3 linked regions of the Rhinolophus ferrumequinum genome follow. The protein of the gene in region 2 interacts with the protein of the main gene of each other region in a pairwise test. Links are inferred from orthologs where the notes say so. Each region holds a gene or a part of one and is shown on either strand. Other genes may lie near its edges.

Region 1 (3,744 bases), on a different chromosome or scaffold from region 2:
TGAAAATCAACCCATTCCATTTGAGAAAACCATCGAGAAAACCAATTCTGGGCTAGGAGGATTAAGCTGTACCATTTCCCCTGGTAAAATGTTTAGATGCCTTATAAAGCAACACCAAAATCAACAGCATCTTACAGTTAGAGAGCGTGCTTTCTCCGTTCCTTCTCCCTCCACCTTCCTTCTACTTCCCACGTCCTGTCTCTCCTCCTCCTTCCTCCTTTCATCTTCTTTTCTCTTCCTCTTTCTGCCCTGTCCTGTCCCTCTTTTTCCTCTCTCCAACCAGAACTGAGAGCCTGAGGTCCTACTCTTTACCCTGACGTCACTATCTTATTCATGGAGAGCATGTTATGTTTTCAGTATGGCCACTTGTCGGGCTGATAGAATTGGTCTTCAACGGCCATAACAATCCTCTAGGTTTTGCAGAGTCTGTTGAAAGCAAAACCTTTTATCTGGGCCTTCTGTCTTGGCCCTGTAGCTCATTAATGTCATCCATTGGTTCTCTCAGTTTCCGTTATTAACCCCATCTAGAAGGACTTGAAACTTGCATTGATTGATCTGGTGTCTTGAGGCCCATCTGGCCCTATATGCAAGGCATGGAGAAGGTAGGGGCGCTGGGAACAACTCTCGGATCCCAACGCACAAGCAGCCTACGCTGGTTCCAATTTTCCATCTAGAAGCACCGGACTCTACAGCCTGTGCGCTGCCTCCAGCAGCCTCCGGCGGCGCGGCAGCTTTAAGAGAGGGGCGGGGCCCGGGCACAGGCAAGGCAGGGCCAACCCACAAGGTTCCTTTTCCTTTTTGATCCATTCAAAAATTACTCATTGCAAATTCCCGGACTGCTGGGAGAAGAGAAGGAAGGAGGCGGAGGAGCGAAGCTGCTGCAGACGCCGCGCTGGGGGCACCCGGAGGCCCGAGTAGCCGAATTGCTGGCCGGGCCGAAGCTGCTGGCGGGCCGTTCTGGCTTCGGTGGCCTCACCAGGAAGCGTCAGAATCTCGACACCCGGGAAGCTCTGCGCCGCCTCCGCCCTCTCCGCCGCCTCCCGCCCGGCTTTCGGCCCGGAGCCCCCTGCCCTACCGTAGTCTAGCTCCCTCCTCCCTCCGGGACGATCCGACTCGAGCATCTTCCCCGGCGATGGCTGGCCTCTGAGCCATGGCTCAGTACGGCCACCCCACCCCGCTTGGCATGGCCGCGAGAGAAGAGCTGTACAGCAAAGTCACCCCGCGGAGGAACCGCCAGCAGCGCCCCGGCACCATCAAGCATGGATCGGCGCTGGACGTGCTCTTGTCCATGGGCTTCCCCAGAGCCCGCGCGTAAGTAGCCGGGCTTGCAGCCCTTGCGACCCCTCCCGTCCCAAGCGGCAGACCCTCGGCTTCGCTCCAGCTCGCCTCCCGGCGCCTGCGGGACGGGCGGCGCGCTCCCCGCTGCCCACGTCCTGTTGAGGGCAGGATGGGCGCGCAGGAGCCCGGCTCTCATCTCCTCCCCACCGGGGTGCAGGGGAAGATGCCGCGCGGGAGCGCTGTACGGGGGACTTGCTGGGAATGCCTAAGGTGAGGCATGTCTCAAGGAGACGGCACCTGGTTCGAGTCCCGGGAACCGTTCCCAGCGTCCGGCCTCCGCGGGTGGGGCTAAGCTGTTGTCCGCTAACCGCGGAGCCCCTGGGGAGGCGGGGCCCCATTGGGGATTTAGGTATCCTCTTGATCCGGAACGCAGGGCTAGCTTAGGATCCTCTTGATGGCTGCGAGACGGTAAGGGACCAGCGGGGCAGTGAGGCCGGCGCTCCCACTGCAGCGGCTTCCAGGTCCGGATGCTGCTCTCTGGTTGGGTCTCTCACCGGAGTAGGAGGAGCGGGATCGTGGGTGTTGCTGCGTGTTCATTGATCGGGAGGAAGGAATAAGGAAAGCAGTTCTTTCAGGGGACCTGAGTTCTTGTCAGTGGTGATGGCAGCGCAGAAATCTGTGGGTGCCTGAGAATAAGGGGGGGGGGGAGCTGTCCTCCAACATCCTTCTTCCCCAAGGAGGGTTGAGTAGGGAAAGGCAGAGAAAGCGCAGGTGGCTGCCCCTGCTGCCTGCTGCGAAGAGGCCTGATCCCAGCACAAGGCAGCAGCAGTAGCAGCAGGGGGCTTCTGAAGCTGGGCATCCAAGATTGTGGGGCCGGAACCCTGCCTAGAAGGAAGCCAAGGCCCAAAGGTCAGGCCCTTCTCCCTTGGTTGCTTACAAATTTCTTAGGTGGGAACAGACAGCCTGGGATCCCGTGGGGTGCTGCTTCTTTGAATTACATCACCTGGAGTGGGAGGTGGGGGAAACTTTATTAGGAAGGGCCAAGTTAATGAAACTTTTTTTTCTCCCCCGCCCCCTTCCAATTTTCAGATGATAACTCTAGGTTTCCCTTCCAGGGCCTCTGGGCAAACCTTGATTTTTCTTTACTAACCTGGCTGTAACCTCTTAATCAAAGCAGACCTCTGATTTTATCATTCTACCAAGCCTGCTGGGTCAGGTTGGCGTGGCCTTGGAAGGCCATAATATGGACTGATGTTTCTGTCTCCCACTGGCTTCCAAGCACAGGGGCTTCAGTTCCTGATGCCAGAGTTGCAGGGAGCAGTTGTGGTGGGCTCTGCAGGGGTGTGTCAGGTGTGGATGCTGCAAGTTAGGTCCTTCCTATGGATGATGGCTGCACATAGCCTATGGATGATGACTGAGCATAGCTCTCCTTACGAATGGTAGATAGGGGCCTGGAAGTCTGTTGGGCGATGCTGCAGAATTAGCACAGTCCCAGGCATTTTCCCTTTATGAAATGAGGCCAGTGTAAGGAACTATTAGGTTGGTGCAAAAGTAATTGCGGTTTTTGCATTTATTTTTAACCTTTTAAACTGCAATTACTTTTGCACCAACCTAATAAATTGCTTAATTAAGGGAAGAAATACTTAACTCCTCAGACCATCATGTTTGCTATTCAAACTGGCTTTAAAGGGACATCTTTTTCCTGCACTTGTCCATGTCCTGATAGATTAGGATGAGGGTCTAATTTTGGCTTGTTCAACCACTGAGATCTCATTACAACTAGCATTTGCTGATCACTTACTATGCACTGTTCTAAGCACTTTACCTACTATCTATTTTATCCTCCTAGCAACCAAACAAGAAAAGTATTTATGTGCCCATTTTATGAATTGGGAAACAAAGGTTTAGAGAGATTATGCAACTGCTCAGGGTCACAATAGGAAGCAGTGAATGTGGGATTCAAACCCAGTCAGTGCGCCTGCTCAGCTCAGGCCTCATATCCATGGCTGGAATGTAATGCATCAACGTGGGTAACATGTTAGTGCAATGCCCGGCACATAGTGGGCACTCATTAGGTGTTAGCTATTATGTTAGTTTCTGCGGCTGCTGTAACAAGAAACCACAAACTGGGTGGCTTAAGCAACAGAAATTTATTCTCATACTGTTCTGGAGCCCAGGAGCCCCAAATCAGTGTCACTGGGCTGAAATCAAGGCGACAACAGGGCTATGCTCCCTCTGGAGGTTCTAGGAGAGAATGCATTTTTTGCCTCTTAGAGCTCCTGGTGGCTCCTGGCATTCTTTGGCTTGTGACTGCATCACTCCAATTTCTGCCTCCATGGTCACATTACCTTCTCTTCTGTGTCAAATCTCCTTCTGTGTCTTCTGTAAAGACATTTGTGATTGCGTTTAGTGCCTCCCCGGGTAATTCAAGATAACCTTCCCATCTCAAGATCCTTAATTATATCT
Region 2 (3,744 bases):
ACTACTATTTTAATAGTGGAACTGTTGAGCTCACAAGAAAAGCCAGACAGGCAGAGTCCTGGAGCTTCACTGAGGGCAACAGGAAGCCATAGAAAGCTTTTAGGCAGCAAGGAGAGGTTGTTGGATTTGGAAATTGTGTTTTTGGAATTAGTCTTATAGCTTAAAAATTATGTGCTCCCTTTAAACAATTCAGCCACTATGAAAATAAAAATTACTTGAAACCCTTTCCTCCAAGATAATCACTGATAATATTTTGGGGAAGCTCTTTCCTGAAATCTATGATTATAGAATATTATCTCAAATTTCACCTGAGTTGGACCATTCTAAACATGCTATTCTGTAATCAATATTTTTCCTTTGAGAATAAAATGTGAATAGCTTTTCATGTCAGTAAATAGATCTATATCATTATTTTAAATGGCTGTTCAGTACTGCATTGTTTATATACATAATTGAATTAGCCCGGTGATGGACATTTACGTGTTTTCCTTCTATAGTCAAGAACCTCATGTAACAACCTTGTATTCATCTTTTCCAAATTGTCGGATTATCTTTTTAAGGTGAATTCTTAAAAGTAATAGAGCTGGGTCAAGAATTATGCCCTTTTTACAGTTGGATTCAAGTTGCCAAATCGTCTTCAGATTTGCAGGACGACCAGGAGGAAGCTGCTGCCTTAGTTCTAGCGTGAGACTGTCGTAACTGGGATGGCGAAGAAAGTACAGTCTCACAGGTGATGTAGCTCATTTAGGCCTCTCTTCGGTGGGTTGGCAAATTCCTTCCCTTTTCCCTTTGCTTCACTTCTTTTTCTTAACATGGAGGCAGAACTGAGAACTGCATCTCCCAGCATATTGCAGGGACCACAGTCCCTGGGAATTGTAGTACCGGGCCTGAGAAGGGCCCGGAAGGAGGGCAGGAGACTTTGGGGGCATGCTGGGAAATGTAGTCCAGCGAGCGTCGGTAGCGGTGGGGGGGGCATTGTGTGCGCGCGCCCGGGTAAAGAGGTTGGAGATGCTGAGAACATCGCTACCTGGGGATAATGGAGCCGCGTGGGTGACCTAACTTCCTTCACATGTGGTCTTTGAGTCTACAAAACCGCCCGCGGATGGTTGACTTTATTCCATTGTCCATGACCGGGGAGGGCACCGCCCCACCGCACTGGGCGCGCGGCAGGAGCCGCAGGCCGCGCGCGGGTCGGAGCGGGGCATGCCGGGAGTTGTGGTCCCGGCAAGCTGAGGCTGTGGGACGTGTCGCGGCGCTGCGCCGGCTCCTCCTTCCCCGTCCTTATAGGTCCCCCGCCCCTTCCCTTCGCCTCCTCCTCCCTCGCCCGCAGCCGAACGTCCCCTCCCCCCATCCGTCGGGCTTCTCGGCGGCTACTGCAGAGGATTCAGAGCCGAGTCGCTGAGGAGGAGGAGGATCCCGGTCCCTGCGCGCCATCCGCCACCTTACTGGACACGGGCGAGGGAGCGAGAGCGTCGCCTCTGTACCCTCTAGAGAAGACAAGGGCATCGCCACCTCAGCCACCGCCGTCGCCGTTTTCGCCTGCAGCGGCTCTCCGGTGAGCAGACCCCCCCCCCACCGCCCCCTGGTCCGCTCGCCCTGAGCCTGGGCCGGTGGTACCGGGGAGAATGAGAGTGGAGGCTGCGTGAGCGCGGGTTGGGGGAAGGGGGTTGAGGTCGCGATGGAATGGCAGGCTGGGAGGGGAGACTTGTCCAGGCGCGGGCTGGGGGTGGGGTGAGGGTGGGACCCGAGCAGGTTGGGGGGCCACAGGAGAAGGGGACTTTTAATGGGGAATAACCGGACCTGGGACAGGAACGTGGGTTCGGGGGGCTGGGGTGGAATTTGGGATGGTTTAGGGGCGAGCTGGATGATGAGACTGGAGTGGGATGGCTTTTAATGGGGGAGGGGATTGAATGAGGGTGGTGGATTTGGGGTTGGCCTGGAGCAGTTGACAGTTTGGGATCCGAGCTGGGGTGCGGGGTAAGGAGATCATTTCAATAGAGAGTGGGATTGCAGGGTTGGATAGGACCCTGGCGCGGGGGGGGGGGATTGTTAATTCAGGAGGTTGGAACTGGGGGTGGACCTAGGGCAGGCTAATAGAGGTGGTGGAAGCTGGGGGTGGGGGGCTTGGCGTGGGTTGAGACCTGAGCTTGAAGTAGGCGTTTGCCATCTCAGGGTGGTGGAATTTGTGGAGACTTACGGAATCGCGTGGGTTAGAAGAGCAGAGGAGGTAGAATTTGGGGTGTTCCTGGGGAGCTGGTGGGAGTGGGACTTTCAATGAGGGGAGTGTAATGGTGACCTGGCAGGAGCGGGGTAAATTAGAAATTAGGCCCAAAATGGGCGGACAAGGATTGAAATTGGGCGGAAGGCGGAGGGGGGTGCACAGTAGGATGGGATTTCGGGTGATCTTAGAACCACTGGAAGGGGCATTGGTGGCTCTCTGGGTGCAGGGTTAAGGCAGAGGGCACAGAAGTCACCGCTGAGCTCGATTCACTGAAAGAAGAGTGGCAGGTGGTGAGCAATGTTGGGGGATGGTGTCTTGAAGAAAATGTCCCCTGGTCAAGGTGGCAGAGGGAGTTTTGGAGAAGGAATGTCTGAGAAGAACTGGTAGGACTGGCGAGATGGTTGCTAATGGGGAGGTGCAGAGGGGTTCTTTACGGAGTGGGAGACATCGGGTTGGTGTGGACGGGCAGGGAGGCTGTGGAGGGGGCAGGAGCAATGCTGGGAAGACGCAGGGGAAGGATTTGGATGGCCTTCAACAGGCAGAAGCAGGTGAAGGGCTGGACTTAAATGGACAGCTTTGGAGGCTGTGGTCGGGGGAAGACAGTAATCACAGGGACTTTGCAGGGGACAGAGAAGGTACATGAAAGACTCCCAGAGGACGTGGTAAGCTGTTAGTTTCATCTTTTTGTTGCATGTATATTAGTATTATATTTGGAAGTAAATCAACCCAAAGGGGAAAGTTGAGAGAGGCTTCAGTTAAGGTAGAATGAAGGAGGGGAGCATGTCTTCTGTTACAGACACACCTTGGAGGTACTGCAGGTTTGGGTCCAGACCATCACAATAAAGTGAGTGTTACCATCACGTGAGTTGTGTGCTTCTTGCTGGTGGAGGGTCTTGCCTTCGATTTGTAAAAACTGCAACATTCGTATAAATCTGCAACATTCGTATAGCGCAACAAAGCAAAGCACAATAAAAGGAGGTATGCTTGTATTGATATAAAAACAAAGTTTGGAGAGAAAAGCCCACTCCCAAACTAAAGGTGGAGAAGATGAAACTGGAATGTGATAGATGTCTTTCTATATGATGTCTCTGCGTCTTTTCTGCCTTCCCCTTGGTGCATTTAAAAATTAGTCCTGGAATTTAGAATTCAATAGATTTGATGAGCTTGAGGTAGCAAAGGGAGCGTTCCTTGCTTGAGAACTGATGAATGAGACTGAAAAATATAAAGCTGAATTCATCTTCTAGTCAGGCAGCGTGCATGTATGCAGAAAGAGCTTGGGCCTTTTTTTTTCTCCTCTAAAAATTGATTGCTTGAAGGCTCCATTTATTGGTGTCCTGGTTTGCAAGGCAATTAGGCCCATCATTGTATTGCAGGCTAACAATCCTGAGATGAATCTTGGCACCACCGCTTTAAGTAAACAGAGGGAAGACAGGAAATATGGAAATATCATAAATATTCATTGGTAAGATGGTTTTGGTATTGGTGGAGTTTTTCATTTGATTCTCTTCTGACATTACTTGATG
Region 3 (3,744 bases), on a different chromosome or scaffold from region 2:
ACAGCTCAACTGAGCCATCCGGCCGCCCCAAGTTTCTGCTGTTTTAAACCACCCAGCTTGTGGTCATCTGTTATGGCAGCCACAGGAAATGGATACACCCTACCTATCCCAAACACTTCCCCTGACAGAACCAGGATCACAGATGCTCCTGTGTGTACTGGGCACTGACTGTGCCAGGCATCGTGCCAGGCTGGGACACAGCAAAGAATAAGTCGCTGACACGCAAACTCGGAAGCCCAAGCAACGTGCCAAAGTGCTGCACTCAGCACACGACTGCCAAGGGACCAAGGGAAGGGACATTTGAGTGGGGCCTTGACGGCTGAGTAGGAGGTTTGCCTGGCAGAATCCTACCCAGACATGCTCCAAGGACAAGTTGTATACTTCCTGCTCTCTCATTAAGGAGCAGGCGTCTGGAAAACCCTGTCTTTTCTCAATGCTCTGAGCATGAGCAGCTGCTGTGGACACAGCTCACACGAGTGCGGGACATGCACCTCTCACCCCCTTCTCAGCCTGCCAGTAGAAGAGCCCTGGATACATAAATTCACTGTCAAAATACAAAGGCCTGGGCAGCAGGTTAGCTCAGTTGGTTAGAGCCCCAGGCTCTTAACAACAAGGTTGCCAGTTCCATCCCCACATGGGCCACTGTGAGCTCCGCCCTCTACAACTAGATTGAAACAACTACTTGACTTGAAACTGATGGGTCCTGGAAAAACACAAATAAAACTTAAAATAATAATAATAATATTAATTTAAAAAAAAAAAACAAAAAAAAAAAACACCAAGGCCTACCAGGTCAAATCAGATGACAGCTTAAACGGAAGCCCGATTTCCAATGGTCAGTCAACAGGCTGATTTTCTGCCGGGGGATGCAGTCAGCAGGTTTCCTTCTTTCTGATCTGAAGTTCAGGAGTGGTGCTCTAACACACACTTTTGCCTGGAGAATTTGGGAAGCTTTAATACGGGGTGAGTACAAAGTACAAATAACTGGATGAGTACTGAAGTCAAAGGTGGCGTCAGGAACAGGGACTGTGCTCATCACGCTTAAACTCCAAAAGCCAGGGTGCCCGGAGACCCCTGGGATTGCTAACATGCACCTCTGCCTCGCCAAGTGTCCTCACATCAAGTGTCACAGTCGGGGCTGACCCTGGAGCCGCTCATTGCCTGGGTTTGACTCCTGGTCTACCACTAACCAGCAGGCACTTAGCCTCCTTCTGCCTCAGTTTCCTCATCTATGAAATGGGGGCGACAATAACTACCACGAGGAATAAAATGAGTTATGATTTGCAAAGCCCTTATAACAGTACCTGGTGTGCAGTAAGCGCCACATAAGTGCTGACAAATAAAAATGCCCCACTTTTAAGCGCATTTCTGCTGTTTTTTCAACTGGCCTCTTTCCTGTTTGGTTTCCTGAGACTCCTCACGGGTCAAAACCAGCCACAGCAAAGGTAGTCGAGGAACAGACAAGGTCCCCAAGGTCTGGCGTCATCAGGGTGAATATCACCTTGGAAGGTAAGAGGCTGAGGGAACCAAGGAATACTGCTGCAACCCCCACGAATCCCAAAGTTAGAAAGAAATCAACACAGCCACCAAAATAGTTTAGAAGATTCAAACGGAAAGGCTAACATCATTTTTCCTCTGAACTTGTCATCTAAAGAGAAACAGCAGAAAATTTAAAATCCCAACTTCAAATCTTACGAGTTTTGTTAAAGGGGCCCCAAACCTACATAAACGTTATCTCTAGAAAACCATAAGGCCAAACTTACAGAACGTGAGGACAGGCTGTAAAGCAAACCTGCAATGTTTCTATTAGGCGGAGGCTTGCCCAGGTGTCACGCTGAAAAACAATTTGACAGGCGCATAAGAGCGGCTGAAGCTTGGCCAGCAGGTCGACCCCGAGGTGTCGCCCGCTCCTCCAAGGGCTGCGGCACGCTGGAACGGCGTCGCACACTCGAGACGCGCCCCTTTGTGCCTCCGAGTGCCAGCACCTTAGTGAGGGACGGGCGTAGCCGGCTGCTGGGCCAGGTCCCCGTCGCCCCGTGCGCTCCCTCCACTCGCTAAGCTGTGCGCAGGGGCTAGTGGCCACCCGCCGCGTTGCGCCACTGTCTTCGCCAGCCAGGCGGGTCCCCCCTGCGCCCTGCGCGGCCCAGAGCTATTCCCAGCGTGGCTCCGCGAACTCCATGCCGCGCAGGCCACTCTACCGACACCATCCCGGGAGAGCTCGGCCCCGCTGCCCTGCACCCTGCCCGCGGCGCAGGGACCTTGAAAGCGGTGGGTCCCCACCATGTCCGGCGCGGCCTGGCGCTGTTCCCGGCTTGGCCCCACGGACCCCACCCCGCGGACACCATCCCGAGGGCTCCAGTCCCCACCGTCCTGCGCCCTTGCCCCGCGGCCGCCGCGCGCCCCCTACCCCGAAGGCGGCGAGTCCCCACTGCGCCGGCTTGGCCCAGGGACACCACCCCACCGACACATTCCCGAGGGCGCCCAGCCCCGCCGCCCTGCGCCCCTGCTCGAGGCCCCCGCCCAAGTTGGCGCATGCTAGCGGCGGGGCGCTCTTGTGGCCCCGCGGGGTCGCGGCCGTCGGCTGCGCCCCGGCTTTGTTCGAGCCCCGCGCCCGCCGGCTGCCCGCGCCCCGGCTCCGCGCGCGCCCGCCGGTACCCCGCGCCACCCCCAGCCCGTGGGCCCCTGCCCACCTTCTGGATGGTTTGCTGCGTGACCTCCCCTTTGCCTCTCGGCCGGGCGGACGCGAAGGCCACCGACATGGTCGCGGCGCCGGCTCAGCACGAGATCATCGGGGTTTCTTCTCCGGCTGCGCTCGGCTGCCGGAGGAGCTCATTCTCCGCAGTCGCAGGGGGGCGGGGGCCGCGGGGGTGTCCCGCCGTGGGCCCGCCCGCCCCGCAGCCGCCGCCGAAGGCCTCCGGGCCCACCGCCCCGCCGCCCTGTGCACTGGAGGCCCTCGAGGCCCAGCCTCGCGCGGACACCCCAGGCGGCCGCCCCGCGCCCCGCGTCCGGCCCGCGGCCGCGGCTCCGCCCCCCGCGCCCGGCCGCCGGTGGTTCAGCCCGGCCCCGCCCCAGCGCGCGCTCACGTCCTCCCGACACCGCCGCTGCCGCCTGACGCCGCCTTACGCCCTCAGCGCAGTGGGCGGTGCCCGGGGGCGGGCGCGGCGCGGGCGCGGCGACGTCGAGTCTCTGTCGGTCCGGCGGTGAGTGTGCGCTTTTCCCTGTACCGGTTGCGCTTCTCGCCGGCATGAGCTACGACCGCGCCATCACGGTCTTCTCGCCTGACGGCCACCTTTTCCAAGTGGAGTACGCGCAGGAGGCCGTGAAGAAAGGCTCGACTGCGGTGAGCGGCGGGCCGGGCCGGGCCGGAAGCGGGGCGGGCGTGCGGGCGCTGCTGGGGCGCGGGCAGCAGGCCGGGCTCGGCCGTGGGAGCGGGGGAGACCCCAGGACGCGGAGGCAAGCCTAGGAACCCGCGAGGCCCGGCCTGGCCGCGTTGCTAGGGCGCGGGGAGGCCTCGGCGTGCGGGGGCGCCCCGAAACGTGCGGGCGTGCGCGAGCGGGCGTGGGCCGGGCGCGGCTGGGGACAGGAGGTGGCTCTGGGGAGGAGCGCGTCCCTCTCCGTCGCGAGGCCTGGGCCGCGGCGTCTGCAGCCCGCCGTGTGGGGCCCGGCGGCGTCTCGCTACCAGGCTTCGGCCAAGCGGCCGAGCTGACAGCCTCCTTTGTCGCCGGCGGTCTGTGGTCCCACTCG

What was found.
Region 1: the proteins of FAM168A (region 2) and UBASH3B interact in binary tests that used the Homo sapiens proteins (3 or more experiments, as listed by UniProt). The two-hybrid records come from large-scale screens. The link is inferred for Rhinolophus ferrumequinum from reciprocal best matches to the Homo sapiens genes FAM168A and UBASH3B.
Region 3: the proteins of FAM168A (region 2) and SS18L1 interact in binary tests that used the Homo sapiens proteins (3 or more experiments, as listed by UniProt). The two-hybrid records come from large-scale screens. The link is inferred for Rhinolophus ferrumequinum from reciprocal best matches to the Homo sapiens genes FAM168A and SS18L1.

The regions. Positions count from the first base shown.
Region 1 is NC_046308.1:37,595,452-37,599,195, reverse strand, and holds the start of UBASH3B (ubiquitin-associated and SH3 domain-containing protein B), read left to right. Parts: upstream 1-820; 5' UTR 821-1,150; coding exon 1,151-1,311; exon of another isoform or gene 1,312-1,447; coding exon of another isoform or gene 1,448-1,548; intron 1,549-3,744. UniProt on the Homo sapiens protein: Interferes with CBL-mediated down-regulation and degradation of receptor-type tyrosine kinases. Promotes accumulation of activated target receptors, such as T-cell receptors and EGFR, on the cell surface.
Region 2 is NC_046294.1:48,816,346-48,820,089, reverse strand, and holds the start of FAM168A (protein FAM168A), read left to right. Parts: upstream 1-1,313; 5' UTR 1,314-1,555; intron 1,556-3,744.
Region 3 is NC_046306.1:1,343,911-1,347,654, forward strand, and holds the start of SS18L1 (calcium-responsive transactivator), read right to left. Parts: upstream 2,948-3,744; 5' UTR 2,760-2,947; coding exon 2,691-2,759; intron 1,835-2,690; exon of another isoform or gene 1,764-1,834; intron 935-1,763; exon of another isoform or gene 790-934; intron 1-789. Other genes in the region: PSMA7 (proteasome subunit alpha type-7), read left to right, coding at 3,245-3,340. UniProt on the Homo sapiens protein: Transcriptional activator which is required for calcium-dependent dendritic growth and branching in cortical neurons. Recruits CREB-binding protein (CREBBP) to nuclear bodies.